2 linked regions of the Notamacropus eugenii genome follow. The protein of the gene in region 2 purifies or fractionates together with the protein of the main gene of each other region. This does not show direct contact. Links are inferred from orthologs where the notes say so. Each region holds a gene or a part of one and is shown on either strand. Other genes may lie near its edges.

The links.
Region 1: the proteins of FBXL5 (region 2) and MMS19 purify together in Homo sapiens (affinity purification with mass spectrometry; 4 studies listed by BioGRID and IntAct, counting the BioPlex papers as one, with this or other methods). This does not show direct contact. The link is inferred for Notamacropus eugenii from reciprocal best matches to the Homo sapiens genes FBXL5 and MMS19.

What each region holds. Positions count from the first base shown.
Region 1 is NC_092872.1:214,291,986-214,306,835, forward strand, and holds the start of MMS19 (MMS19 nucleotide excision repair protein homolog), read right to left. Parts: upstream 5,518-14,850; 5' UTR 5,290-5,517; coding exon 5,181-5,289; intron 1-5,180. Other genes in the region: UBTD1 (ubiquitin domain-containing protein 1), read left to right, coding at 11,118-11,250. UniProt on the Homo sapiens protein: Key component of the cytosolic iron-sulfur protein assembly (CIA) complex, a multiprotein complex that mediates the incorporation of iron-sulfur cluster into apoproteins specifically involved in DNA metabolism and genomic integrity.
Region 2 is NC_092877.1:68,183,909-68,199,541, reverse strand, and holds the start of FBXL5 (F-box/LRR-repeat protein 5), read left to right. Parts: upstream 1-7,478; 5' UTR 7,479-7,582; coding exon 7,583-7,666; intron 7,667-15,633.

The sequences.
Region 1 (14,850 bases), on a different chromosome or scaffold from region 2:
AAGCAACTCTGGCTTGGTCCCACCCACAATCTTGGACTGCCTTTCCTGCTTAAGATGCTACAAGCATCTCTGAGACTCAGGGCAAAACTTGTTGTTTTATTATTGCTTAATTCAACCTTTTTTTTCTTTTTCAGGAATAGTATGTCCTCTCAAAGAAATCTCAAGAAGAAAATGAATACAGTGCTAATAGTTTTCTTACTGAAAACTAAAATGGCAGCAAATCAAGTTTATCAGGAAAAAAAAAAAGGGCATTATCAAACTGAACAAGCCCCAAATCAAGCTCTTTATATTTCTAATCTGCAAACCAGTTCCATTTTCCAACTTCCTCACTTCTTATAATTCTCCTTGCCTTCCAGGCTAAAATCTTTCAGTCATGTGGCTCCTGCCTCTCCCTCTGGCAGCCAGTAAACAAGAATTTTATTGAATTCTTTCTGTGTGCTAGGTACAGTGCTAAGTGCTAAGAACCCCCCACCCCCACCCCAAAGGTCAAAATAGTTTCTGCCCTCAAAGAGTTTACTTTCTAATGGAGGGAGACAATATGTAAATAACTAAGTACTTTGAAGAGGTAATCTCAGTGAGAAAGGCAGCTGAGGAAACCACGAAAGACCTGCAGAAGGTGGTGATTGAACCCGAGCCTCTGAATGAAGCCAGGAATCCTCAGAGATGGAAGTGATGAAGGAGAGCATTTCACACCTGGCAACGGCCAGTGCAAATGCAAGAAGACAGAGATGTTGGGCCATGCAAGAGCCAGCTGCCTTGGACTGTACAGTGTGTACAAGTGAATCAAGCATAACAAGACTGGAAAAGGTAGAAACTGACCATGTTATGGAGAGCACTGAATACTAAATGGAGGAGCTTCTATCTGATCCTGGTGTGAAATGAGCCCTGGAATCATTAAGGAGGGACATGGTCAGACTGCTTCAGAAATATCACTTGGGCATCTGAGGGGCATGGACTGGATATAGGGAGAACAGTTATAAGGCTGATCTAGTTAGTCGTGGTGGCTCTCACCTATAATCTCCTTGACATAGGAAGGCTGAGGCTGGGGTATGGCTTGAGTTTAGGAGTTCTGAGCTACAGTGGTTGAGTGCCTGCACCAATATTGTGAGGGGGAGGGGAAAGGAAGAGGAAGGGGAAAAACAGATGATAACCAACAAGCTATTTGCAGTAGATGAACCAACTTACATCAAAAATGGAGCAGGTCAATGACTTGTGGTGGGAATGGACCCATGGGAGAGAGGAAGGAAGAGAAGAAGGAAAGGAGGGAAGGAAGGAGGAAGGGAGTGAGAAAAGAGGGCTATTGCAATTGTCCAGGTGAGGTGATGAGAACCTGAATGAAGTAGGGTAGTGGCTGTGTGAATGAAAAGAAGGGGATTAAATGAAGATAAAAATGGCAGCATTTTGGCAGTTGAAAGGATATGTGAGTGAGAGTAAGGAGCTGAGGATGACATGAAAGTTGTGTTGGATGACTGAGGAGTCTTGGAGATTTGCTGATTCTTCCTTGTAAGAATCCTTCCTTTCTGTGAACATCGATGTGCAAAGTTTTCTGCTGCCCTCTATGTGGATACAAAGACTTATAAAACCTGACTGATGCCTGCCTTCCAGGAGCTTCTGACTGGATATGAAGAGATAAGGCACAGCAATAAACTGAAAACAAGGTGATGAATAAATCCCATGAGTGGTCCAGAACACAAATGGTTTTGAGACATCAGAGAAAGGAGAAAATCATTATGACTAAGATAACTGGGGGAGAGGAGATAGAAGGGCAAATACTTCCATGACCTGGCTCTTTAAGAATGGGGTAAGATCTTCTAAGATAGAGATGGTAGAAGAAATAACACAAGCCAAGGCACACAAGCCAGAAAGCCCAATAGATGCTTGGGGAATGGTTAGTAGACAAGTTTGGATAGAATAAAGAGCTCATTCAGGGAAGAGAAAGAAGAAAGATAACATGGGACCAGACTATGGAGGGCCTTTGAATGCCATACTATCCTAACCAAATGAGTGGACTGTTAGCTATACCTTACATTTCATCTCTTGCCTGTCTGCCTTTGCAAAGTGGTCCCCCACGTCTGAAAGGTCCTCCTGTCTCACCTGAGCCTATTAAAATTCCTACCTTTCTACAAAGCACAGCTCATATCCCATAGCCCACAGGAAGTCTCCCCTGATCTCTCCCCTTCAGTTGCTAGTGTTGTAATGCTCTTTCTTGAAATATTTTTGAATGCACTTACCTACGTGTGTTATATTCCTCTCCCCTAAGTAGAACATAAACTGCTTGAAAGTAGCATTTTGTTTTTGCTTCTGAATCACCAGTGTCCAGCACAATAAGCATCTAATATTTGTTATATTAAATTTATTTTATATGCAATGGGAAACCACTGAAGATTCAAACACAAGATGATGAAAACAAGATTTTTAAAAAGATTAATTTGGAGGTGGTGTGTAGGATAGCTCTCAACCTTTTTTCACTCAAACTCTAGTGAAGATTTGTTTCTATAACATTAAAAAGATAATGAAAAAGCTGTGGGTTATTAAAAATCGCCCAAAACCCCCACAAACAACCACAATACAATTAATGTACTAGGGATATAAAGACAGAAAGAAAAGTTCCTGCCCTCGAGGAGCTTACATTCTCATGGTCATATAAAAAAATCAGGATTTAAATTCCAAGTTGTGTCCTTTTCCCCCTCCCTCTGGGATTTTCTCCAACTTATCCGGTGTAGATCTTGCTTACATTCAGTTATTTACATGGTGTACTCTCCAGTAGACTGTGAACTCCTGCAAAGCAGGGACTATTATTTGCCTTTTGCATCCCCAGTTCAGTAAAATGTATTCATTCTCATCCCCTCCTTCACCAGGAGTAGCATAAAAGTCAGGAGATTTGCTTATTGGTAGCTTTTCGTATAGACTTCTAAAGTCTAAATACATTTAAGACCTCCTCCTCACAATCCAGCCCTATTGTAACAGAATTTTATCTTAAACTACTCACCCCAACCAAAAGCAACTCTAGAGTTAGGTCAGGTTAATGTCTACACTCTATCACCTCTAAGCTTTTGTTCATTCACCTAACTTAGAAATATCCTCAGCTCTAGGATGCAGTCTCCCAAACAAAAAGGTAAGTTCCCAGAAGGCAGGAGCAATCGTAACCTTTGTAATATACTCCAGCATTTAGCAGAGTGCTAGTAAAAACTTATCAAAACCTTTTTCATTCATTCACCTGGGACTACTGAAATCCCATTCATTTTACTAGGATGGGCTCAAGTCAGACTGCCACAATCACGTGCAGTGGCTAAACTGGAAAAGTCTGTAAGCCCAAGTTGATTTTGCCCCTTCTCTAAAACTTTACTGTCATAACCTCACAATTTAATGCAATTATTGAGTCCAGTCACTTCTGTTGTGTCCGTCCGACTCTCTGTGAGTGACATTTTGGGTTCTCTTGGCACAGATATTGGAGTGGTTTGCCATTTACTTTTCAGCTCATTTTACAGATGAAGTAACTGAGGCAAACAGGGTTAAGTGACTTGCCCAGCATTACACAGCTATTAAGTGTCTAAGGTCAGATTTGAACTCAATGAAGATGAGTCTTTCTGACTTCAGGTGCAACACAGTATATCCACTGCGCCACCTAGCAGCCCTGATAAGTATTATATTCTTATATTATTCTTTAACTGGCTTACTTATAATATCCCCCCAAAAGATTAAGCTCATGGATAGTGACCCCACCTCATAACTTGTGCAAGGAATTTAGGAGAAAGAACAAGTAGATATCTACAGATTATAATAACAGCTTACATTTATATAGCACCCAAGTTTTCAAAGCAAGTTGTTCACTAGAACATTGAGGTATTATCCCCATTTTATATATACGGGAACTGAAACTCAGAGGGGTTTAAATGAATAGTATAAGGTCAGAGATAAGTGATACAGTTGAATAAAGCCCAGAAGGAGACAGTAAATGTAGAGCACTGTATACAAAGCCAGCCTGCCAAAGACACTAAAGACAAGGGCCACCCAGGATTAATTTAACGAAGGGAACTTTGTTTAGAACAAAGAGACAGTGTTAAACGTGGTACCTAGAGCAGTGGACAATCACAATTGGGCTAGCTGGACAGAGTTTAGCTAAAAAGGATAACTTTTAGGGGTTTAGTAATTTAACGGGTTTTATTAAAATGTGAAAGCTATGCACTATCATTCAAGGTACACCAAATTTACCTTTATCAATTTTATTTTATGATCTGGTCCCTATCCAAATTTCTTCTCAAACACTGTTCCTCTGTCTCTAAAAGTCAAACACCTGGTTTTCAGTATTCATAAATTTGAGGGGTCACAAATAAGCAAATGGTACATCCTCTCTTTTAAGGCCTCCCCCTCCGAAGTGATCACAGCTTTCCTAATCAATGACGAGCCAGGCAATACTACAGAAGAGCCTAATCGATGCTGAGGGCCAGGCACTGTGCAAAGTACTGGGTTGTTTTCTTTTAAACCCCAAAATGACACAGTCCCCTTCCACCAAGGAGTCTACTTCTTCCAGAAAGTTAGGCTGTTTTTTACAGACTGGTAAAACTGTCAAACCCAAAACTCTTAGTGGACAACCTCCTCCCCTCCACAAGCTCGTTATTAATAAATTACGTTATTTACTATTTAGCACGGGATCGGGGGGCCCTGTAACCCTGCCTAACTCTCTAGGAAGATTTCTGTCTAAAGGAGCCCTGCCTCAGCCTCCTATCCAAGAATCCGAACGCAAACGTGCGTGGACGAGACAAGACAAAGTTTCGGGAGGGTTGAAAGCCCCGCGGAAGAGCGCGATACAGGGAGGGGGGCCCACGGGAAGCGCCCAGGCAGGGCCGGGGAGGCCCTCGGGGACCCCCAGAACTAGTGTCGCCTTCCACCACCCTTCTTCCTCTCCATCATGCACCCAAGGCCCGAGCCAGCTTCCGGAGCCCACGTGGCTCCCTGCTCCCGCCTGCCCACGCCACGCCACGCGCCGGATCTCCCGAGCCCACACCTCCTTCTCCTCCTCCGCCCCGGCACTGCTCCGTCGTGGCCCCTTTTCCCGTCCCGACGGCTCGGCCCTAGTCGGCTTCCGTCCCCAGGCCCACCCCAACCGTCGCCTCCTTCCCTGCCCGCCGGCGCCAGGGGCGGCGGCTGCTCCCTCCCCGCAGCTTGCAGCGCGGATGTACCTGCCGCCACCTCGGCCGCCGGGCCGTCCTGCTGCCCGACCACAAAGTCCTGGACGAGGCCACCCAGGGCGCCCGCCGGGGCCAGCGCCTCCTCAGAGGCCGCGGCCATGATCGGAAATTGGGAAGAGGAGGAGGGGTAAGAGATGGAGGAGACAGCCCCACGGCAGCGCCGGGGCAGCTTCGCGCATGCGCACTCCGACCAATCACGTGGCGAGAAAGCGGGAGAGGGAGGGTTGCCTAGGTCACGTGTTTGCCCCCTTCCCGGCCGGACCGTCCCGGGGAGAGAGAGAAAAAGGCCCCGTGTCGGAGGGGAAGGGTCAGCTGCCCGGGGACTCAGCTGGTTCGTAGAGTAGGTAGGACGGCACACCACCCTAGACGACTAACGAAGCAGACTTTCGGGGAGACCGGGCGGATACCTGACTGGGTGGGGCCCGGCTGGGACGCCCCCCTCGGGGGAACCCAATGAGAGAGCTGGGCCCGGGCAGCGGGGCGGGGCCGACGGTCACATGCTCACCTGGGTCGGGGGCGGAGCCAGAGCCGGGCGGGGCCCGGCCGGGGCGGGGCTTTGCAGGTGAGTGACAGTGTCCGGGGACGGACTCCGAGGAGATCGCGGAGCTAGGTCTGAGTGGCCTTGGCCGCGGTGCCCGCCCCTCCTCTCTCTCTCCGGCCTCTTCTCCTGGCCGCTCCCGGCCCCAGCCCCCCTGGCCCGACCACCTGGGGCGGGCTCTTGAGCGCTGAGGGAGCCGCCCTCCCGCCCGCTCTCCCGCAAAGTTTGTGGCGGAGCCGGCGGCGGGGGCTGAGCGTGCCCCGGAGAGCGAGGGGACAACGACTGATGCAGAACGGCAGGAGCAGTTGAGTCCGGAGTGGCCCGGGACCCGCTCGGGGCATCGGAGGGGCTGCCCGCTCGCCGCCGCCCGTGCATGGGGCCGGGCTGAGCCGCGGCCATGGGCAACTGCGTGGGGAGACAGCGCGGAGACAGGCCGTCAGCGTCGGGACACCCCCGCAAGCGAGCAGGTGAGGACCGCGGGCGCCGGCTTGCCCGCCTCTGCCCCCCGCCGTGGCTCCGGTCCCTGCCCGGGCTGGGCTCGGGAGGAGGAAGCGCCCTGCGGGACGGGGAGCCGGGGAGGTGGGGGGAGGAGGCGGTGGCCGGTCCGGGCAGCCCCGAGCGAGCTCCGAGCCCGGCTCTGCCCGACTGGAAAGTGGCGGAGGCCGCCGGGCCGGGCCAGGAAACGTTCGGGACTGCTGCGGCGCGGACCGGGCGTGGAGGGCGGCGGCTCGGGCGACTCGGCTCCTCGGCGCAGGGGCCGAAGCGGGCTGCCGGGGCCCGGCCGGAGCCGTCTAGGAAGCTGCTAGTCCTGGGGAGCCCCGGCCGGACTCAGGAAGTCTTGAACTCCTTATTTTTTTAACCAAACTCCCCGGCTTCGGTGCCTGCGCCGGGAAGAGGTCGGGTCTTGGGCGCCTGGTCCCTGAGAGTGCCTCGGGGACCTTCCAGAAATCACAGGATCAAATTCTGCGAGATCCTCCTGCCCATTTTCCTGACGAGGAAACTGAGGCCCGAGAGGATGACGCCCTTGTTCACGTTCCTCCTAGAGCTCCGTGTAGAAAGCAGGTCTCACAGTTGCCAGTTTTTCTTTGTGTAAAAGGGGGTTTCGCAGCCGGTTTTGTAACGAGAGTTTTCTGATACCAAAGGTGGGTCACCGAACCTGATTTCAGGGGCACCTTTTTTCCAGAAATGTGTTTTTATGGAACGGTTTGAGAAAGACTTCAGTTTTAAAACTAAAAGGGTAGGTTTTCCTCTCCACCGTGCACACTTGGGGGCTTCCAACGGTCTGAACACCACATTCCTTATTTTCTCAGTCTTCAGCCCCTTACTCTCAACAGCATTTGATGTTGACCAGCCTCTCTTGGAAAACTCATCCCTTCCACCGAGTTGTGTTCATTTTGTCTGACCTTTCTTCCTTTTCCTGGCTCCACTTTGCCCCTAAATGTGGGCAGTCCCACGGTCACCCAAGTTGTCCAGACCATTTTTACCTTGGTACCAAAATAGCTTCCCATTTTCAGGATTCAGCTTCTTAAACCCCTTGGATTTCCCAAACCATCCTGCACACTCTCCAGTCACATTCTTCGGTACCACTGGATCTTGTCCAAGTGCTGCTCACAGCCCTTCAGCAGCTGACCATTGCCAGCAGGATCAAGTCCACGTTCTGTAATGTGGTACCCAGGCTGTACAGGCCTCCTTTGCCTGTCTCCTGCTCTGTAACTGTCCCTCCTCTCCCCCAGTCTTGTGCCTTTAGCCCACCTCCACCATGTTCTGCCCATCCATAATCCATGTGAAGCATTCCTGGATTTTCCATCTTCCCAAGTTAGAAGTGATCTTCCCCTTCCTGTTCTGAACCTTTTATGCATTTATTCCCTGTACTATCGATCTGGTGTTTAGTTTTAGTATCTTGTTCATGTGAAGTTTCGGCCAATTGACAACCTGTTTGAGGGCAGGCATTGGCTTTAGGAGAACTTATATTTCAAGCTTAAAGGGATCTTGGAGGCCATCTAGTTTGACCCCTTTATTTTGTGGAAAAGGAAAAACTGAGACTTAGGATGTAACACAAATACTTCTCCTATCCAGACAGCTTCTATACTTCACAAGTAGCTTTACTAAGGCAAATACTTATTAAGCACGCACTGTCTGCTCCCTAGATGCTGGAAGATAGAAAGACAGCAATGCAATGGTTCTTGCCATCAGGAAACTTCCCTTTTTGTGGGGCGTGGGGTGGGGAACAGGGCTTGGGTATTGAGATGGAGACACAGGATGTACACAAGTGTAATATAATTTATCTAACTAGCCTGAGCTGGTACAGTAGGTTCTTAGGGGAAGGTCACAAAGGGGACAATGTTTGCAACATGGTAAAAGGGGTATGTGTGGAGGAGATGGTCTTTTTTTTTTTTTTTTGGGCGAAGGTCTGAAATCATGGTAAATACTTGTCATTCCAGTAACATATCTGAAGCCTCACTCTGTGACACAGTTTAAATTGTGACCTGTTCCCCCACATTTCAAAGAGCTCCCCTAGTCCCTCCCTTCCCCATGACCTTTCTTTGCCACTCATCCTTGAGATGGATAGAGTTCTTCATGAGAACAATTCCATAAGCACCCTCCCTTTCATTCCACTGTATGATGTCCTTCCATGCAACAAAAATTACTTTTGACTGACCCCTGCTATCCTTAGACAAATTTATGTCCATGTCAATGAGGTAATTAAATGGTGTGCCCCCACTTGTTAAAAACTTAGGTGACTGATAGGAAGGTAATTAATTTTCCTGATTGCCTCCTATATGTAGCAGAGCTGAACCTTAAACACTTGAGACTGATGGAATTGGAGATATGTATTTGCTTTGGGGATTATCCTATAATTCTCTTCCAGACTTGTACTTCCTTGGGCCCAATGTGTGAGGATCAATAGGCCCTGCCCAGCATGTTTGTTATAAAAGAAGATAATTCTACACATATGGCTGTGACTGTTGATGAGTAATGAGATGACCCTTAGTTTTCTGTTCTCTGTTAGCCTTCCTGTGGCACTTTTATTTATGGGACTATGCCATTCAGCAGCTTAGAAGGAAAGCAGTAACTTAAGGTTTGCACTTGGTGCAACGAGAAGCCCTTCTGTTGACCCTTTGCTTTGGGGAGTTCTTAAAATAGGAAATCCTGGTTAGAATGCGGGGGCGGGGAGGCCTCTTGTCAGTATCTCACATTTCCCCCTATTCAGAATGGTGATTGCTTGGGCTCTTATCTCTGCTAAACTGCCAGCTGTGACTTGTTTGTGGGGGGAATCCAGAAGCACAGATAATGGGGCAAAGGGGCTGGGGTTTGGGTGGATAGGGGGGTGCAGATTTAGCCTCTGGCCTTTTTCTCCCTTCACTTGTCATGCAAGGTTTAGAATCCCATTTTGAAAGAGCAGTCTTTGCAGCGAGGGCCTGAGGTAAGATTCAAGCTCTTCCACTGATTAGCTGGAATCTGGGCAAGTAATTTCCCTCTTTGCTCCTTGGTTTTTTATGTTGGCAGCCTCAGAGGCCTTTTCGCTCCTAAATCCTGGGACTTAAGATTTTCTTTTTGCAAAACTTTAAAATGAGAATAAAATTGTACCTGCACCCTGCCTAGTTCCTAGAACTGGGATAGAAACTGGGAACACCTCATATGCAAAATATGTTCATGAAATGACAAAAAGATCTTGGATTGAGATCTTGATTCTAGTTCCAGATATGCCTTAGAAAAGACACTTAACCCTTAAACCAAACCCTCTCCCCCCAGCCTTACACTTTCATTAAGTATGTGACCATTGGACTTCAAAAAGATGTTGTGGGGATAAAACTAAGCTAATCTTGTAGTGTAAATGCTTTTGGAAAAATTATAAACCCTGTACAAATGTGAGGTGGAGGAGTAGTCTCTCATTTATTTGGCATTTGGGGGGCAGAGGGGAACAGATATTTAACTGTGGAAGTATCTAAACTTTTTTTAAAAATCATTTTAATGAAAATCTTACTAAAATGAATTTTTTCCCCTCTCTTTAAGCCCCTCCCCCATGCTGTGTCATTTAACCTTTTCTCACTGAAGCAAGTTCATGTTTATGTAATAGTCTTGAGTATATTTGCCCTTATGTCAAATCCCCCAGATTGCCTCATTCTTTGGGCTAAGAAACTAGAATTGTGTTAGAATTTTGTCTAAAAGGAGGGGCTCAAAGAGTCTGCAACAGAAGTTAAGTTCATGAGCTCAAGTGTCTGGACTTGGGTGGGTCAGACAGGCTTCTGGGTTCTTGGTCACATTTTGGAAAGTCAGGGCTATCTTTGTATCTCCAGCTTGGTGTGTAGTGAAGTGGGATTGATTACCACCACCTGAATGAATGCTAAAGGCTATTATGCCATGTTATTATAGTTCAAAGGCTGATTTTTTAAAAATCTCATTTGCTCTCTGAAAGATGTAGGAATGATATGACCTGGCTCAGAGATAGGTAAACATAGAAAATAAGAGTGAGAAAAAAGCTGACAAGTGGAGTGTATGACCTACCGTTGACAGTGACCTGTAAGTTCCCTGGCATATGTCCTGGGGCCATGTGTGGCAAAGTGCTTCCCCTTCTTCTGGAGTTAAGCAGTGCCTGCAGGGGAGTGTTTGCACGTTTCAGGAGAACTTACCTTTTATTGATCATCCGGGACCCCATCTGAATTCCCTGTATTGGGCATCTTAGGAACAATGACCCATGTAGGGAAAATAGCATTTGCCTACTGTGTGCTGGCCACCATGGAGTTCCCCAGTCCTTCAGAGCTAAGACACAGGTGCACCACTTTTACTTTAGACCTGATGCCAGCCTTATAAAGTGATCTCCAGAGAGGAAAAGGCTGAGCAGCATTGTCAGGTAACTAAAGCCGAGGCAGAGGAAACTTGGCTAATTGACAGACACTGAAATCCGGGTGCAGATCTCTGCTTTGAGCCAAGACACTACCTCCTCACACCTTGTATTAAAGAGAACATCTTTCGTTTTCTTATTTAGGGAAGTACTTTTCTGATGGAAGTATCAATCTAGATTTCCTAGCTTAGTAACTGAAGGAGGCACAGGTGCAGGATTTGGGGTAAGGGAGAGTAACCGTAGAATAAAATGTTTCTTTCCTTTTTTTTAAATATTGGAATGGTTCTTAGAAAATATTTTGAGGCTTTTAACTTAGGTTTGGTAAGAATAAGACAATAGAGGAGCTTATCAATTTTGGCACAGTTGTCTTTTTGATAAGAATACTAAGCATTTACATCACAGGTGGACAATATGGCTTGCTTTCCTTTACTTTTTCCTCTTTCTTTTCTCTTCACCCTTACCTTACTTTACCTTACTAGCTTGAAAAGGCCAAAGTCCCCCAGTGCATCCTGGGCCCTTTCCAGTTGTCCTGATCATATCTGGCCAGATGACTCCAGAGGACACAGATTGGTGGCTGCACAGCCCTCCCTCACTGAAATCCACTTCACTTGCATGTCATGGCATCAACCTCCCTGATGTCGTGGGCCTCTTAGAGAAGGAAGGACAGACAGCAGCAGCAGGTCAGCAAAGTGCTTTACTTTGTTATCTCATTTGTGAGTGCTATTATTATCCCCATTTTAAAAGTGAAGAAACTGGGGCAAAGAATAGTTAAGTGAGTTGCTTAAAGATACAGAACTAGGTATCCCAAGATTTGAACTCCAGTGTTTCTGACTGCAAGTCCAGCCTGGCTAAGGCTTCCACAAGTAAGCAGGTGATTGCTCCATAGAGATCTAATGAATGCAGGAGATTCCAAAGCCCTGGTTCATAGCTGTCCTCATGCCACCTCCTCCCTTGCAGCCTCACCCAGGGCTTCTACCACCATCACCACTACTCCCCCCTCCCCCCCCACAAAAAACCATCCCCAAAACAAAACAAATCGCCCAGCGGGGGAGGGAACCTGAGGCTCCCATCTCCTGCCCAGGGAAGTGCTCCATGGTCCATTAAGAACAGTTCTACCCTGTTGTAGATCTAGCCCTGGTTTGGGTTCCTAGGAGCAACATAAATAGAAGGTAAACAAACACCTTGGTGTCCTCAAGTTAATGGGCTAGGCTGGAAGCTTCCAAATGCCAGGAACTCAGGGACTTGTCAGTGGCCACTTGAGGGACTCTGCATTTGCTCCTGATTTCTTAAGGGAATTGATGAAATACAGATTTATGTTAGGAAAGTACTTGTGCTGGATCAATTGTTTTTCTCTTTATAGAGAAAGAAGGTATAAATGTAGCAATAGACCCAGTATAAATGGAGAGTAGGGGGCAATTATCTACATAATTAAGGTCTTTTTTTTTAACCCGAAATACCCAGGTGATTGAAATGAAAATCTCCGTTTGGGGCTCCACCTTTTCCATAGCTAGGTCATTGCTCCAGGTCTTTAGACATACACACAGACCCCTCTCCCTGCCCCAAACCCTACAGTTTGAGTTTCCCTGAAGGTTTCCTGTACCTCCTGCCATATTATAATCCCCTCCAGTGTTGCATCTTTAGCCTTTGTTACCCTCTAGTCCCAGAGGATAGTAATTGTCTTTGCATGGCAAATAACAGTTCTTTAGGTAGGGTTGTACAGGCAAACAAAGTCCTCCCTTCCCCCTCCCTGTTTATAAGGTGCTTTTTTTCACCAATTTTATGAGGACTCATGTTGAACATGTAAGCACCTCCTTGCTGCAGAATTGCCTGACAGATTCCAGCCTTTGCTTTAGGGTAGTGTCTTCCAGCTCTGGGATTCTCATTGAAGTACCTATTTTCTAGTTCAGGGATGGGGAACCTGGGGCCTTGAGGCCACATGTGGCCCTCTAGGTCCTCAAGGGCAGCCCTCTGACTGAATCCTTAGAAATTTGTTATGTGAAGTTTGGATTCAGTCAAAGGGCTGCCCTTGAGGAGCACATGTGGCCTAAAGGCTGAAGGTTCCTCACTCCTGCTCCAGTTTGTCTCTATATTGCATGCCACTGCACACAGTATTTACAGTGTCTGTCATCAGTTCCTGGTCTTCTGGGTACTTTGCTCACTACTTTTTATAGGTTTTGTTTCCTGAAAACATTTTCTGAAGCTTCCAAGTGTGGTGGCTATGAATTTCTGCAGCCAAAAATATTTTTCATGTTTAAAAACTGAATTTCTGTACATTTTTGTGTGAGAGTCATCTGTCTAGCTAGAAGAGTGACCATTTTAAACTTATTAAAAACTTAACATTGTGTTGATATTCTAAACTTGCTTATTAACTTTTACACTTAAGTTCATTTCCATGCCCGACAGAGCCAAGAATGTCCACGTGGTTAAGTGGCAAGAAGGACAGGCCTGGGAAGTCTTGCAGGCTGGCATTTTGTCTCCTACATACCGAAGGAGCTTTGGGCCATGGACAAGTTGCCTAACCTGCCTGGGCCCCAGGCTTCTCTCTCCAAGTTAATTGCAGCTCTGCTGTGTTGGAGGTGTAGTTTCTACTTTGAAAGTTTCCTATACACATGTCTAAACCAGAAAGTAAAGGGATCAGAACAGTTTTTCAGGCGTTCTCTCAAGTCCTCATTTGGATTATTTGTCCATTCTCATTCACTTTTCTTTTTCTATGTGTACTCCATGCGTTTGCTTGGTTTTTTTTCTACTTTGCATTCTTCCATAAATGCCTTCCCTGATGTGTTCCTTGATTTTAATTGTATCACAATATTCCTTTATCATAATGTATTGCAATTTAACCATTGTTGTTGTGTATTTAGATTGCTTCTTGTTTTTTGCAAATACATGTAAAATGGCTGGAGACCAGCCATTCTTAACTAAGGGGACACCAAGTTAGACATTTGCATCTGCTGTTCTTTATTCCACTGCCATTCTTTTTGCAGGGTGCCTTGCTGGAGTATCCAAAAACCCTTTTCCCCCATACCACTCCACCCTTATGGATGAGCTCACAGGGCCAACTCTTTGAGCTATACATTATTCCCCCCATCTTCTCACCAGCAAGCTTGCCTCCTCCCAGTACCTTTGCCCACCAAATCTACTTTCTAATTCTGGAACCATAGTCAGATCCATACTTCATTATTCCTGTAAAGGAGTTTGTTGATATATTTTCCTAAATCTCTTGTCAAAAAACCTAGTAACTTTTCCTAGCCAAAATACTGCCCCAGCCACACTCAAAAATACATGTGGATTTCTTTGTTAGAATTTAAGCTCCTTGACAGCAGGGACTGCTTCCATTTCTTGTTTTGTCTTGCTTGGCTCTTCCAGTGCCCTTCCATCAAACCCTTAGGACTTCAGAGGCCTGTCCAGTTGCACTGAAGCTTGCATTTCTTACATAAATTTTCTCCCTCAATTAGAGTGTGAGAGCAGAGACTGTCAAGATTTTTCTTGTGTCCCAGTTGTTAGCAGTGTATACATTATTAATAATTTTAAATTCATTTATACCTAATAAAATATTGTGTTGTATGCTGAATTATTACCAGTAAACTAATGCACTATGATTAATATTGCTCCCTTACTGGTTGCCAGTGATTGTGCTCCTTGCAGGGACACATTATAAAAAAGAAGTAGCCAATTCCTTGCCTTGGGGAGCTCACATTACTCTGGGCACAACTTCCCAGGGTCTTGCTATCTTCCCTTATTATATTGTCGCCCCACCCTGACCTGAACAGAGTGTGGTCCTTTGGTGGGAGTGGTCTGTACTTGATCATGTGCTTGCTCAGGGAGCATAGGCTGCTCTGTTGTGCCAGCTAGATCCTCTAGGGTCGGTGGGTATTGCCATCTGGGGCATGGCAGAGAAGTGAGCAAGGGCAAGTTAGAGGTGCCTAGCAGGGTAACCCGCCTTTTCCCTCAAAATTCATTTCCACTTTGGGGCATACCAGACAGACAGTGGTATAGTACCTGATACTGGCTGGGTTCCTGACTCATGATAGTCCTGAATCTGCTCTCTCTGTAGGACTGTTTATGGCTCAGTGGGTCTCCTCTCTGTTTATTCTGTGCCCTTTTCCCATTTCATTTTTTTGTATTTATTTAATACTTAATTTTTCCTAGTGACATGTAAACATCAATTTGTTCTTAAATTTTTGAGTTCCAAATTCTCCCCCTTTCCTCCAACCCCTGCATTGAGAAGGCGAGCCATTCCATGTAGGTTATATATGTGTAGTCACACAAGATATACCCATAAT
Region 2 (15,633 bases):
CCCAGAAAATTGGTAAAGATGAAAAAGGATGGAGATGATCAGTTTTGAAGGGGCCACAGAAGTCAGGCAGACAAACCCACCACTGTAGAACTGTGGATTGGTCTAACCATTCTGGAAAGCAATTTTTAGCAAATGAAATTAAATAATTAATTAATTTTAAATTTTCAACATTTACTTCCATAAGATTTTGAGTTCCAAATTTTCTCCCAATCTCTCCCCTCCCCCCACCCCATGATGGCATGTAACTTGATATAGACTTTATATACACATTCATACTGAACCTATTTTTACGTTAGTCATGTTGTCAAGAAGAATTAGAACCAAAGGGAGAAACCATGAGAAAAAAGAAACAAACAAACAAAAGAGACAGCAAATAATATGCTTCAATATGAATTCAGACTCCATAGTTTTTTTATTTTTTTTTTTTCTGGATGTGGACATCATTTTCCATCACGAGTCTTTTGGAGTTTTCTTGGATCCTCGCATAGCTAAGAACAGATAAATCTTTCAAAGTTGGTCATCAGGTTATGTGGCTGTTATTGTGTACAGTGTTGTCCTGGTTCTGCTCATGTCACTCAGCATCAACTCATTCAAGTCTTTCCAGGTTTTTCTGAAGTCTGCCTGCTCATCATTTCTTATATCACAATAGTATTCCATTACATTCATATACTATAACTTGTTTAGCCATTCCCCAACGGATGGGCATCCCTTCAATTTCCAATTCTTTGTCACCACAAAAAGAGCTGCTATAAATATTTTTGTACATATAGGTCCTTTTCCCATTTTTATGATCTCTTTGGGATACAGACCTAGAAGTGGTGTTGCTGGATCAAAGGATTTTTATAGTCCTTTGAGCATAGTTCCAAATTGCTCTCCAGAATGGTTGGATCAGTTCACAACTCCACCAACAATGCATTAGTATGGAAAGCAATTTTTAATTACACAAGTAAGTAAAGAAAGTGTCCATATCCTTTGACCCAGATGTCTCACTGCTAGGGATATACCCCAAAGAGGTCATATACACTGAAATACGTATAGAGGCATTTTTTGTGATAGCAAAGAATTGTAAACAAAGTAGATGCTCATCAGTTGGAGATTAGCTAAATAAATTATGGCACACAAATGTGTGGAATATTATTGTTCTGTAAATACAATTAATATAGACAATACAATGAGAGGAATAGGAAGACTCCTATGAAATGGTACAAAGTCAAGTAAGTAGAAACATAAGAAACATAACACACCAGAATTCTCAGAGTGTAAACTGAAAGAACAGTTGCCACAACCAAAACATCAAAACTGAATGTGTCAGAATTACAATGAGCAAGGTTGATCTCAAAGAAGATGTATGAGAATATATCTCCCTCTCTTCTTCGTAGAGGACATGATATTCCTGCATCAAAAAAGGTGCTATACTCTATGAACTAAGCACAATGGCAACAGATAAGAAAAATGAAATGGGAGACATCTCTACTCTAGACATTCATGTGAACTATTTCTGCCCAACTTTTTGATGGAGTCCTAGTTCAATCTCCTATATATATATATATATATATTTGGTAACATGGTACAGTGCCAATGGGGTATTCGCAGCACCTACCAAGGCCACGAATATCCCAGTATAATTCTCAATTGTGAAATACAACAGACTCTCCACATGGAAGGCAGAATCAAAACATTGATTCAGACATCAGAAAGTCCAATCCACCACAATTACAAAAATCTATAACAATGGAGAGGACAACACCCTCCTCAAGCCTTCCCCCAGCTAGGCTTCCCACAAAACAACTCCATGAAACAAATCACAAACAATCACAAAATCACTCACATTAGCGCATCCTTCCTAGCTCTGATCACTTTCAAGACTAACTTCTTCTCGGTTCTGCTCTAGCTCTGCCTCTTCCTGCTTCACCCTTCCTGTTCTACCCATTCAGCAAACTCTTTCTACCACAGATTCCATGTGACTTTGACTAATGACCCATGCAGGTCGCATGGGCCAATTAATGAATGAGAAAGACCTCCTTGTTTCAAATGACTATCACATATGTTTAATATACAAAAATATTTTCCATGATTATACATATTTGTGAGAGGTGTTGTCTTTCTTGGGTAGCTAGGTGGTACAGTGGATAGAGTGCCCATCCTGGAGTCAGGAGGGCCTGAGTTCAAATTTGACCTCAGATACTTTGTGTGTGCGTGAGACCCTGGACAAGTCACTTAACTCTGTTAACCTTAGTTCTTCATCTGTAAAATGAACTGGAGAAGGAAATGGCAATCCACTCCAGTATCTTTGCCAAGAAAACCCCAAATGAAGAGTTGGATATGACATTAACTAATCAACAATTGTCTTTCTTGCCTTCTTAATATGGAGGGGGAGAATTTGGAACTGAAAAAAAAAAGTCTCACTGCTTTAAAAAATATTTAAAAAAGAGTAACCTGCATCTCAGTTCTGAGACCCTACTGTCTCTAATTCAGTGGAATTTAGAGGGTACGCCTATTGATGAAAATATGGCTTGAGTTCTCATTTCAGTACAAACTCATTATTCAAATTGTATGGGAAGTACAAATCAAAGAGCAAAGTACTAAATACAGTATATCAAGATAATTACAAAGGAAAAAACTGGACAATATAATCATTCCCATTCCTACAACTCCTTCCTTGTACATAAAATGGCACAACCTCTTAGAGCCTCATGGGTCAATGAAATGTAGTCAACCCTCAGAGAAATGAGGAAACTCATCAAGACAGGGGTGGGGTGGTTACTGTCAGCAGACTGAGATATTCTGTACCCTCTTGGATTTAGGAATTTGCCTCAACTCTGGTATCAGATCTCCTCATTTTACCTCCAATACAATCTCTGGAGCCTAAATTTGTTAAGTATGAGCTGCAACACCAGGAGTCCCTACTCAGCAAGTCATATCCATCGTATCCATTGTATCCTTTGAGCAGTTTGCTCTTCTGCCTGCCATCTTCAGCATGCTTTCTTTGGATGGAAAGAAAGCAATGTTGCCATTATCATATCTCTTTCTTTTAACTCTTTTCTTTAACAAAGCCCCTGGGGAGCAATTCCTATATCCATGTAGAAGATTGGTATAATTCTCAAGCCCTGGAATTTTCTCCCAGAGAGCAATAGCTTCCTTGCCTTTGTCAATTTGTCAGTCAGTCAATTAGCATTTATTAAGCTACTGTGTATCAAGTACTGTGATAAGTTCTGGGGACATAAAGACAAAAAATAGTCTCCATAGAATTCAGATATTATGGGTAATGATCACCATGCCCCTATTACAGAAGCAACTCCCCTTCCCCTAGAAAAGCATATCTCAAATTTTCTACAGAAAGTGAATGGGAAATTGGGTTCAATATAAAAAAGAGATAAGAAATGACAATATATATTTCGTAAAGTAAGGTACAACTATATTCAAAACTATTTTTAAAAATCTAGAGTTATGATATTACATTTCAGTAAACTGATTACCTTTCCCCTTGATATAGTTCACTCCTATATTCTGCCAACCTTGCTTTTATGAAACCAGAAATTACTGGTTCATAGACAATCATATATGGGGCTGTGAAGGACCTTGGTATTAAATCTAAACTCGGCATTTTACAGATGAAGAAACTGATGTCCAGAAAGGGACAGTTACTTGCTTAAGATCACAAAGATAGTAGCAGAGTTTACCCAGATAATAAGAGCTAGTATTTGAATATAAGTACTCTCTTTAAATTCAGTGTTCTCACTGATCCATATTGGCTCTTGTACTTTTTACAATATTACATTGATGTATAGGATACTCTCAGTTCAATAAACACTTATTAAGTGCCTATCATGCGCAAAGTACTAACATATCATTCTTTCATGTTACTAGGGAAGCATTTAGAGTATTATTGCTATAATGTGCCATGCATGGTCCACAAAGATGACCCTTTTGCCCCATCATCAAGAAGGTATCCACTTAGAGTGTAGATGGTTCAGCTCAATCATCTGATCTCCCTTGTGACCATAGTTGGCTAGGGTCAGAAGAGTAGTATGTGGTCATGGAGCACAGAGAAGTCACCCCTAGAGGAGGTAACTGATTTTTATAGAGGGGGTCATATCTATGGCCTTGGCTTCTTTAACACAGAGCTAATCAACTGTAGTTGCTATAACTTGAAGTGATAATACTTAACCAATATTTTCCATTTCTCTCTTGTAAGGGTAAAGTTCAGTTTACATCAGCTGTTTAATTCTGGCTATGTCATGTGATAAAATGCTACACTAGTCAGTTTATAGAGTAAATATTAATGGTTAGCTGATGTGAACTAAAATTTCACTTTGGAAAGGAAAAAATAACCACTCCAATTTATTTCATGTTATTATTTCAATTCTGTAATTTAAAGAAAATTCAGTTGAATTCATGTTCAGAACCCTGAGTGGTATGCAGTGTGTGTGTGTGTGTGTGTGTGTATGTATTCTAGTTCAGAGCACAGCAAGGCTCAAATCTCACGTCACAATGAATCTCTTAGGGCAGATCTATTCTTTTTTTTTTTTTCTGTTGCCACACTGTATTGTTTGATGCATTTATCTACCCTTAATTTATAAGCCTACTATGTCATAATAATTTCCAGGAGCTAGAGTTAAAGAACTTAATAAAAGAAAAGTAAGACAGTCCTCTACCAGGAGATAAGAAATGCAAATGAAGACAATTTGTAGAGAAAAGTTCAGAGAACAAGATGAGGCAGCAAATAGGTACTTAAAAAGCGAGGACTTTGAGTCTAAATTTCCTCAATTGTAATCTGACGGTACATGTTGTATGATTATTGTTATGTTTTGGGCATTAGGCTGCCTAGGAGACCCAAGATCAAAGGTTTATCCTGGTATGAGTCTGGTACTTTTCTATTATATGATCATATAGAGAACCTCTAATCCTGACTTTACAATGATTTCTGTTTAATAGTAAACTAGACCTGGAATTCCAATCCACGGTGTTGACGTCTTTTTACCAGTCTTCTCAGACAATTTAGCCACATCCTTGTTTCCCCCTAAATTTCCTTACTTCATCCTCTAGTGAGTCAGTTATTTAGTCAAGGTATTTGGCAAAGTTTAGAGGTATTGCCTTTCACTAACACTTTCCCTACTACCAGCACTTGTCCTAGGTGCTGTTAGGGAGATACAAAACAAAACAAAACAAACCATAAAGACAATGCAGCAACCTTGGCTTTGGAGCCAGCAACCAATTTACACCTGTGGCTCTGTCCTTAACAACTGTGGGACCTGAGTTTTCTTTTAAACTGTTTCCTTAAATATAGAAGGAGGAGGTGAAAGATAAACTAGATCATCTCCATTCTACCTCTAAAATTCTGTTCTTTTAGAGCTGTATCCCAAAGAGATCATTAAAAATGGGAAAAAGGTCCCATATGTACACAAATATTTATAGCAGCTCTTTTTGTGGTGGCCAAGAACTGGAAATTGAAGGGATGCCCATCCATTGGGGAATGGCTGAACAAGTTGTGGTATATGAATGCAATGGAATACTATTGTGCTACAAGAAATGATGACTTCAGAAAATCCTGGAAAGACCTATATGAAGTGATGCTGAGTGAAAGGAGCAGAACCTGGAGCACATTGTTCACAGAAACAGCCACAGTGTGCTCCAACTGATTTTGATAGACTTAGCCCTTCTCAGAAATGCAAGGACCTAAAACAATTCCAAAGGACTCATGATAGAAAATGCCATCCACATCCAGAGAAAGAACTATAGACGGGGAACACAGAATGAAGCAGACTATTTTATTTTATTATTTTTTGGTTTTGTTTTTCTTATTCGGGGTCTCTCCCATTCTTTATAATTCTATGCAACATGACTAACGTGAAAATGCGTTTAGCAGGAATAGATGTGTAGAGCCATATCATATTGCATGCTGCCTTAGGGAGGAAAGAGGGAGAACATTTAAAACTTTTGGAAGTGAATGTTGAAAAGTAAAAAAAAAAAAGTTAAAAATAAAATAAAATTTTGTTCCTTTCTTCCCCCTTGCTCGTACTGACCTAGTCTTTGTTGATCTGGCAGTCCCAGGTTTGTCTTCTGCCTGAAATATACACTTCCCTATCACCAAGTCTCCTCCTTTCCTGCTGTTAAAGGATCTTTTTTACCTTCAAAATACCGAGAAATTTTGGCCTTCTTCTCTGATCACACAATTCACAGGCATCTTTCTATTAGAATGTAAATACTAAATAGTAATTGTTTCTCTTTTACCCAGACACCCTGAGGGTCCTCTCCCAGTTATATAAGAGGTCCTCCCTTGAGTAATTACTTAAAGAAGCCTTTTCATCGAATGGGTGTCTCCCAGTGCATCCTGATGAATGTCTGGTCCCGGCACCCAGATGGCTCAGGAGGGGAAAGTGAGGCTGGTGACCTTGCGCAGCCCTCCCGCATTCAAATCAAGGTCAAGTGCAGGTCATGTCCTCATCCTGAGGTCATGGTCCTCATTGAGAAGGAAGGACAACCAACCAACCACAGCAGCTTTCCCGTTTGCGCACGCGCACACACACGTTAGCCCCGGATGTTGGATGAGAGCTCATCTCCTCCACTATCCTCTCCTATTTTAGAGATGAAGTCACCTAGGCCAACAACAGTTAAGGGAACCAGCCCAAGGTCACGGTAGCTTTTGCTTTGGCCTTGAGGCACATGTGGCCCTCTAGGTGCTCAAGAGGGGGAGCCTTGGACCAGAACGAATCCTCTTAATACGAGAATGTATTATGTAAAGCTCGGACTCAGACGGCAGCACCCCAAAGCCTCCGTTATGATCCGCATTTTCCCCTCGTGCCATCCAGATTGCTGTACGTTTCAGGGGCAGGCCCAACAGCCCGCCCGCCCGGGGCCTCTCCTGCCGAGGGTCGGACGGAGCCCCGGGGATTCGGGGCACTCCGCTCCGAGGCAGTTCTCGGTGGAGCGGGGTCAGGGGGCCCGAGCGGGGCTCCTCTCGCCGAGCTCGGGACGCCAGGGTTCCTTTGGCCTCGGGCACCGAGCGCTCCGAGCTTCCGGGTGCCGCCGTGTTCCCTAACCACAACAGCGCTACCATCGTCGCTCTTATTACGGTTGGCACTGGAAGAAAAAGAACCGCGCGATGGCGGTGCGAACGGAGCGAGGGGAGGAGGAAAGGGCAACCTTCACACCTGCCCCCCCGCCCCCTCCCCGGCGTGTGGGAAGCTTTTGGCCAGAAAGGAGAATTTTGAATAGCGACCGCAAGAAGTAAACCGTTTGGTTTTTTTTCCTTGGGGAAGTGAGGGGGTCAAGTAGTGGGAATCGAGAAGACTGAGCGCCGATGACGGGCGGCGGAAGCGGGGAAAGCGCGCGCCTCGGTCACGTGGACTCGCGCTTTCTCCCTCCCTCCTCCTGCCCCCCACCCTTCCGACCGCATGGCGGCAGCCCACGAGCCCACGGGCCTCCCTCCCAAGGAGGGAGGGGAAGGAGAGCAGGGGGAGGGCGCGCCTGACGGAACGGCGCTGGCGCATGCGCGCGCAGGGGAGGGGCGGTCGGCGCGCGGCCGCCTCTGCCCGGCGGTGAGGGAGTCTATGGAGAGGCGGCGGCGGCGGCGGCGGCGGAGATGGCTCCCTTCCCCGAAGAGGTGGACGTGTTCACCGCCCCGCACTGGCGGATGAAGCAGCTGGTGGGGCTCTACTGCGACAAGGTAAAGGCGGGAGGAGGCTGGGGGGCGGGCGGCCTGCGCGGAGCCCGGAGCCCCCGCGAATTAGTGCCTGCGCAGCGCGGCTGTCACCGCCTCTGCCTCGGCGGGGATGCCCCGGCCGCCGCGGCCCTCCGGAGGCCCGAGAGCCCGGGGCCGAGGTAGGCCTCCCCGGCGGCGCCCGGGCCCCGGGGCGCTCGGCTCCCTGGGGGCTCGGGACTTGGTGGGCGGATAGGGGGTGACCCCCTCACCCCTTCTTTCCTTACCTCCTCTTCCCCCACTCGCCCCCCTCGTCTTACTCCCCTCCTCAGTCGCGGCTCCTAGCTCCCCTCCCCTTTCTCCCATCGCGCCCCTCCCCCTCGCAGCCCCTTTCCCTATTTCCCTCATCTCTCCCCTTCTCCCCCGCCCCCACTGATACCCACGCGCCCCCCGCATTTCAGTGCCTTCCTCCTCTTATCCCTGCCCCGATGCCCAGTTCACCGTGTTTGATCCCATCTCCTTCCTTAAATTTTAATATTTATTTGCACGGGACGGGATAAAGGCTGGTGTGGTTCCCTGGGCACCTCCGGCGGCGGACTGGGGTTTGCAGCCGAGGAGCTCTGCCCCGGAGGAGTTGGGAGGAAGAGCCCCGGGCTTGGGAGGGGGAGACCTGCTTGGGTTTAGTAGCCCTTCCCCTCGGGTGGTCTCGGGCAGGCTACGGGAGCTTCGGTGCCTCAGTTTCCTCATCTGCAAAATGAAGGAAATGAACTCGATTATCCATAGGCTCCTCTCCCAGCCCTGATACTCTGTTTTATAAATTCTCGGATTTCTGGGCCACGGATTTCATCATTTTGAGATTGCCGAGATCCTTTCCCATTTTAGCACAAGATTCAGAATTACTGTTTTGAAGTCAGCCAAGAGCTTGCCTTTCTGCAATGCGCTGTCTAAAAATAAGTAAATTAAGAATAATTTAAAAATCTGTACTTCCCGTGTGTTTGAATCGACTATATGTGGTAATGGGGGGAAGATGAGGCATAGATTTAACTCAGATAACATAATCTGTAGGGCATGTAACTTAGGTACCAGTTTATTGCCTTTAAAAATTGATGTTTTAGCGAGTACTTAACCTGATAAACGGAAGAGGTGGTAATAGCTTTTGTGCGTTATGTGGGTAATCAGTAGTCATAAAGTTTGCCTGGAGGACATTACAATTATTGTTCATCAAAAACCTCATTGATGGATCCTATCAAGTTGTTTATGGTAATGTCCAAACACTTACCAAGGAACAACACTTTACATTTTTAAATTTGGACTTTTTGTCTTTCTAAAAATTTTTATTTACCTACCGTTTAGAGATGCTGGCTCCTGGCGTAAATGAAGGGTGACCTATAAATCAGAGGATCTTGTTTTGAATTCCCTTTTGCTTACTAGCTGTGTGACCTTAGGCGAGTCATGGTAAACTCAGTGTCTTCATCTATAAAGTGAAATTGTTTGGATTAGATGACCTCTTAAGTTCACTTCCAGCTCTAAATTCAACAGTGTTATGAAATGGCCAAAGATAGAAAAAGCCTGAGAAGGAAAAGCACGTGACCTGAACAGGAGACAAAACTGGATGTTATAGAACAGAATAAATAATCCGTTGTTTAGTAGTAACTTTTTAAAAACAAACTCACATTCTGTGACCTCTACCGCACTATTGTGGTTACAGATGAAGAAAAAATGTTCAATTTCTCTGCCTTTAAAGACCAAATGCTAGTTGATAGGAGAATCTGGATTAATGGCACCTAATGAGACATACCCTTTGGGTTGTTTGGTGGCTAATCTGTCTCTTTTTTTCAATGAATTAGAAATTAAGAAAATTCTGGAGTATGTGAAATGATTTGAAAATTGAGAAAGAAATTTACAGACTATTCCTGTAAATATTTTAGGTTACATGTTCTTGCAATGTTTACCCATTAGTTTGTTTAGGAAAAGGTTTTTTTTTAGACAATGTCAAAATGAACTTCATTCTAGCAACTATATGTGATAGCAAGTTTTGATGGAGTATATTCCAAACGAATGATTTTATTTATGCAAACAGTAAAGATGAAGTGATCCTCATTGTGTGAACCATAGACTACTCAACAAATGATAAGTGCCTACTATGTGCCAGGCATCATACATGCTAAGCCTTGGGGATACCTGGAAAGGCTGTCCCCCTTTTCCCTCAACTCGCTAATCCCTCCGTCTCTGAATGCCTGGGAATTGTAAATTTGCATGTGAAAATACTGAACCTTTTAGTTCTTGGGAAAGGATTAGGCTCCACTGTGATAACTTTTGGGGTCCTCTTGGGCTTGTATTGGTACAGCCTCTGAAAATGAAGTGAGAAACTTATCCAGCTCAGTGTTTCAGGCATTAGATGGAAAAATAGTTATCCTTATTTTTGATAACATCTTAAATTCTGAGGCACCATCTTAATTACATTGACCACTTGTGCCCAGCCAAACTATCTACCGATGCTTTTTTTTACATTAAAACTTTGAAATTTAATACACTTTTATGAGGAAACTTAACTCCCCCGATGCAGATGGGCACCTGCTCAGATGCTTAGGGTTTTCTGGGGCACTGAAGGTTCACTGACTTATTCAGGGTTTACACAGCCAGTATGTGTCACAGCTAGAACTTGAACTCAGGTCTTCCTGACTTTGAGACTTGGACCTTTCCATCCACCTTATCATGCTACTTCTCATTATACGCATTTTAAAGAAAAGGCTACAAAGTACAATGTTTTATTTAAATTCTTACTTATTTGGTGGGCACAGAGATCGATTACTAAGTAGCTATAAAGAATCAATTCATAATTCACATTTAGCTTTGGAACTAGCATTTTAGAAATAGATGGATGTACAAATAATTTTAAACTGTTAAGCAAAGTGGGCAGCTTGCTGACATAATGAATAGAGCACCAGACTGTGGAGACAGGCAGGTCTGTGTTCAAATGTGGCCTCAGATACCTAGTAGCTGTTAGACTCCAAACAAGTCATTTAACCTTTGTCAGCCTTAGCTTTCTTATCTGTAAAATGGGGATAATAAGAGCAACAATCTCCCAGGGTGTTTGAGGAGGAAAGGTAATAATTGTAAAGTGCCTGGCACAGAGTAAATGCTTCATAAATGTTAGCTGTTAAGTGTCAGGCAATATTCTTCAGCTGGATTTTGGTAGTGTCGGTGACATTTCCCAACATTTCCCAGTTTAAACTTTTGTGAAGCACTTTCACACTTGTTAAACCAACAATAACTGACGTAGATAGGGTAGTTTATTTCAGTTTTGCAGGTGAGAAAGTAAATACTGAGTAGCTTGCCCAAGGTCATACAGGCAATTAGCAAAGAGTCACAGCAAGAATCTAGGTCTCCTAAATCTATACTGTGTCTATTACTTGAAGTAGTTAAGCTTCATTTCTTTAATATGTGAATACTTCAAGAATTTCATCAGTGTGTATATCCCTTTCCACTGTCATAGATTACAACTTTGCTATACATTGTTCAAGTCTCTTGAGTTTTTGTGACTGAAAAAATTGATCACCTGGTGACAGTCTAATTATGATGATCCTATCTGAACTTAGCCTGGTCTTTGGACAACTGACTGATGTAGTCTGTCACTGGGCCTGTAAATTGAAGCCTTTCTCTTTTGGTAGGACCTTTCTGAACTTGAGTTCTACAGAACACAGGATTACCATCATGCCATTATGATGCATTGAAGTAGGACTTTAAGGGACACATTTTTTCCACTAGGTAGTTAAGACTTTTCACTAGTTCTCACCTTTTCCTCAATTCATATGAGTTGGTGCGGTTTTATAGTCTATTTGGTATCCTAGTACATTCTTCTTATTCTAATCTTTTTCTATTCAGGGATCCACTTCATTGGAAAAAAGTAGGGGGAAAGGGAAATAAGATGATCATGGTTTTATTTAAGATAAAAAGGATATTTTACAGGCTACCAGAATGTTTCTAAAATACATATATTTGTCTATGTGATACGTTAGATTCATACATGAATATAAATTTCTCTGTCAGATAACAAACATTAAATGTCTACTAAACACTGCTGGTTATTCTGGTGATAGAAAAATAGCTATAACCAGGGAACTTACTCTAAAGGATTTTACATTTATTTAATTGGAAGGAGTGAAGATATATATACATATATATGTATATATAGTTAACTTTAATACAAAGAACAATATAAATACAAAAGAAATATTTAGGTAAAGTTCTTAGAGATATTTGAATATCTAGTAGATATGATATAGGTTCTTAAGACCCTGTCCTAAGGCAGTGTTTCTTTGGTTAGGTCTTTAACTGACAGACAATTGCAAAAACATTTTCCCCCTATAATCTGTTTCTTTTAACTTTAGAGGTATTTCTTTTTGTGCAAAATCTTTTTTAACATAGTCAAACCCATTCAAAATTTCAAATTATTTTTCCATTTGCTTAATAAAATGTTGATTGTCTTCTTATTTGAGACATTTTTTCTTCTGGTTTTTAAAAATGGCAAATTATTACATTATTAATCTAGTTAGTGTTTATTATATAGTGCGGGGTGTGTGCCTAAAGCTCATTTTTCATCTTATACCAGCTTATTTTATGTCATACTTTCACATTCCGTATTAGTTTTACTGAAAGTTCATTTTAGTCATAGATTTTATCATGTGCTAACCTACGAATCCTATTTCTGGGTTCTCTTAACTGTTGTATTTATTTTTTTTCCATACCATACAATCTTGTAATTGTTACTTTAATTATGGAAATCTGGTAGGACAAGTCTTTTTCTGTCTCATTTAAATTTTTATATTCTTGCCTGCTAGAATTTTGTCATGACTTAACTATAAAGTAAACTTTTATATTGTGATTGGTATTTTAAGTCCGCAAATTGTTTTGCAGTTTATTTGTTTTACCTAACCAAGCAAAAGAGAGCCCTTTATATGTTTAGTTCCTTGATTTCTTTCAAAATAATTTTGAAGTTGTCTTGAGAAGTCAGTGCCCAGATATTTGATACTTTTGTTATTGTATAAAAGATAAGTCTATTTCTTGATTCTTGTTCATTGTTATTTTTGTGAGTTTATCTGACATCTTGCTCTTTTACTGAAAACATTTATCATCTCAGTTCCTCTCGTTTTTCTCCACACTCTTCTCCTTAGAGAATCTCATCTGTTCCCATGTGTTCAGTTATCAGCTCTATACAAATAACTCCCAATTCTTTATATGTAACTGTTCTCCTCTGAACTGTAGTTCTGCATCTCCAGTTGTTTGCAGGACATAGATGTCTTGATATGTCTACCAGGCCTCTCAAAAATCAAATACCTGAGACTGAATTCTTACTTGGTATTTATCATCCTTAAGCCTTCCACTCTTCCTACTTCTTTTGATTGTGTTGTCATCTTCATAGTTAAATATGCTTGAAACCTCAGCATTATCTTTGAATCTCTTCAGTCTCTTGACCTTGATGTTACAGTTACCTGCTGATTGTACTTCATAATATTTCTTACATCTGTCTAGACTCCATTAACACTGTCACCACACCTTATCACCCCTTGTCTGGACTATGCTATCTGCCTCCTTACCAATCTTTCTAATTCAAGTCTCTCCCCTTTCTGGTCTTTCTTTAGTATAGCTGCCAAAATAATCTTCCTAATGCACAGGTCTTACATTTCTTTCTTGCTTGACAACTGTAATTGGCTTTCTACTGCTTATGGGATAAAATATAATTTCATTGGCCTGGCATTTAAGGACCTGTGCAATTTGAGTTTGACCTGGGTTTTGTATACCTTTTTAGATGTGCTTTTGAATTATACATTCATGCATTCTTTATTTTTTTTGTGAACAGTATTTTTTTCAATTATATATAAAGATAGTTTCATACATTCATTTTTATAAGATTTTGAGTTCCATATTTTTCTCCCTACCTCACTTCCCTCCCCAAGGCAGCAAGCAATTTGATGTAGGTTATACATGTGCCATCTTGAAGACATATTTCCACATAAGTTAGGTTGTGGAAGAAGAAACAGAACAAAAGGGAAAAAGCCACAAAAAAACAACAACAAAAGTGAAAATAATATGCTTTTATCTGCATTCAGACTCCATAGTTCTTTCTTTGGACATGCTTAGCATTTTCCATTGTGAGTCTTTTGGAATTGTCTTGGATTGTTATATTCCTGGGGAGAACTCAGTCAGTCGTAGTTGATCATAGCAGTGTTACTGTTAGTGTGTGCAATATTCTCCTAGCTCTGCTCGCATCACTCAGTATCAGTTCATGGAAGTCTTTCCAAGTCTTTCTGTAATCTGCTTGCTCATCATTTCTTAGAGCATAGTAGTATTCCATTACATTCATATACCACAACTTGTTTAGCCATTACCCAATTGATGGACATTCTCTCAGTTTCCAACTCTGCCACCATAAAAACTGCCATAAATATTTTTGTATATGTAGGTCCTTTTCCCTCTTTTTTTGATCCTTTTGGGATACAAACCTAGTAGTGATATTGCTGGATCAAAGTGTTTGATTGTCCTTTGGGCGTAGTTCCGAATTGCTCTCCAGAATGGTTGGATTTATTCACAACTCCAACAATGCATTAGTGTTCCAATTTTCCCACATTTTTTCCTTTTTTTTAATCATATTAGCCAATCTGATAGGTATGAGTTGGCACTTAAAAGTTGTTTTAATTTATGCACTTTTTATTCTAGCCAAGCATATTACATATACGGAATGTGCTCCCTTATCAATACCTGTTGAAATCTTTTCTGTCTAGGTTCAGCTCAAGTGCCACTTCTTCCATGAAGCCTTCCCAGATTCTTTTGGTCAGAAGTGTTCCCTACCTCCCCTCCTCTAATTTTCAGAGTATTTTTTTGGTATGGATTTTTCCTTTGCTCCATTTATACTATCTTAAATCATTCTTAACTTCTGTGCATGTCTCTATCCTTGCAATTAGATTATGAACTAACTGCGAGGCTGGTACTACCTTTCAGTTTTGTGTCCTCAGCTTAATAAAACACTTGTTGACATGAACACATTGTCAGATTGACTTGGAAAAGGGAAAAGCAAGTGACTTAATAATGTCTTAATGTGGATGACAGGGCCTATAGTCTCGAAGTGTAATATGTTAGTTAATAAAATGTTGTCCAGCCTTGGAATCAGGAAGATCATACTTTCAGAGTCTGCCTCTTACAGAGGACTAGGTTTGTGAACTTTGGCAGGTCACTAAAGATCTCATTGCCAGGATTGGGAGTTCCAACATTCTGATAAAAGCAGATTTGTAATAGCTTCTCTTTCTCCCCATGCTCTTGGTATTTATCAGAAGATCTGGATTATTGAAATATTTAGCTTATACCAGCAATTTAGAGGGATGAAATTTTGAGATATCCTTTATGTTGGATACTTTGTTATATGTAATCAGTTTCTCATTCTTTCAGAGCCATGATAATACAGGCATAACTTGGAGATATTGTGGGTTCAGTTCCAGACCACTGCAATAAAGCAAGTCACATGGATTTTTTGAGTTCCTAGGGCATATAAAAGCCATATTTACACTATACTGTAGCCTATTAAGTGTGCAATAGTATGTCTTAAAAAATGTACAAGCCTTAATTTAGAAATATTGCTAAAAATGCTAGCCACTATTTGAGTCTTCAGTGAATTCTAATCTTTTCTGGTGGAGTGTCTTGGCTGGATGTTGATGACTGCTTATTGATTGATTCAGGTGGTGGTTCCTGAAAGTTGGAGTAGCAGTGATAATTTTTTAAAATGAGATAACAATGAAGTCTGCTGCATTGATTGACTCTTACTCTCACTTTGAATACTTAGAGGCCATTGTAGGATTATTAATTGACCAGTATATTCAGTATTATATCTACAAAAATAAACTGGAGAAGGGGGATGGAGAAACTTGGAACAGCTGATGGTTGGAACAGTCAGAATACACATTTATTGTGGTGCACCCCAAAACAATTACAGTAGTAATATA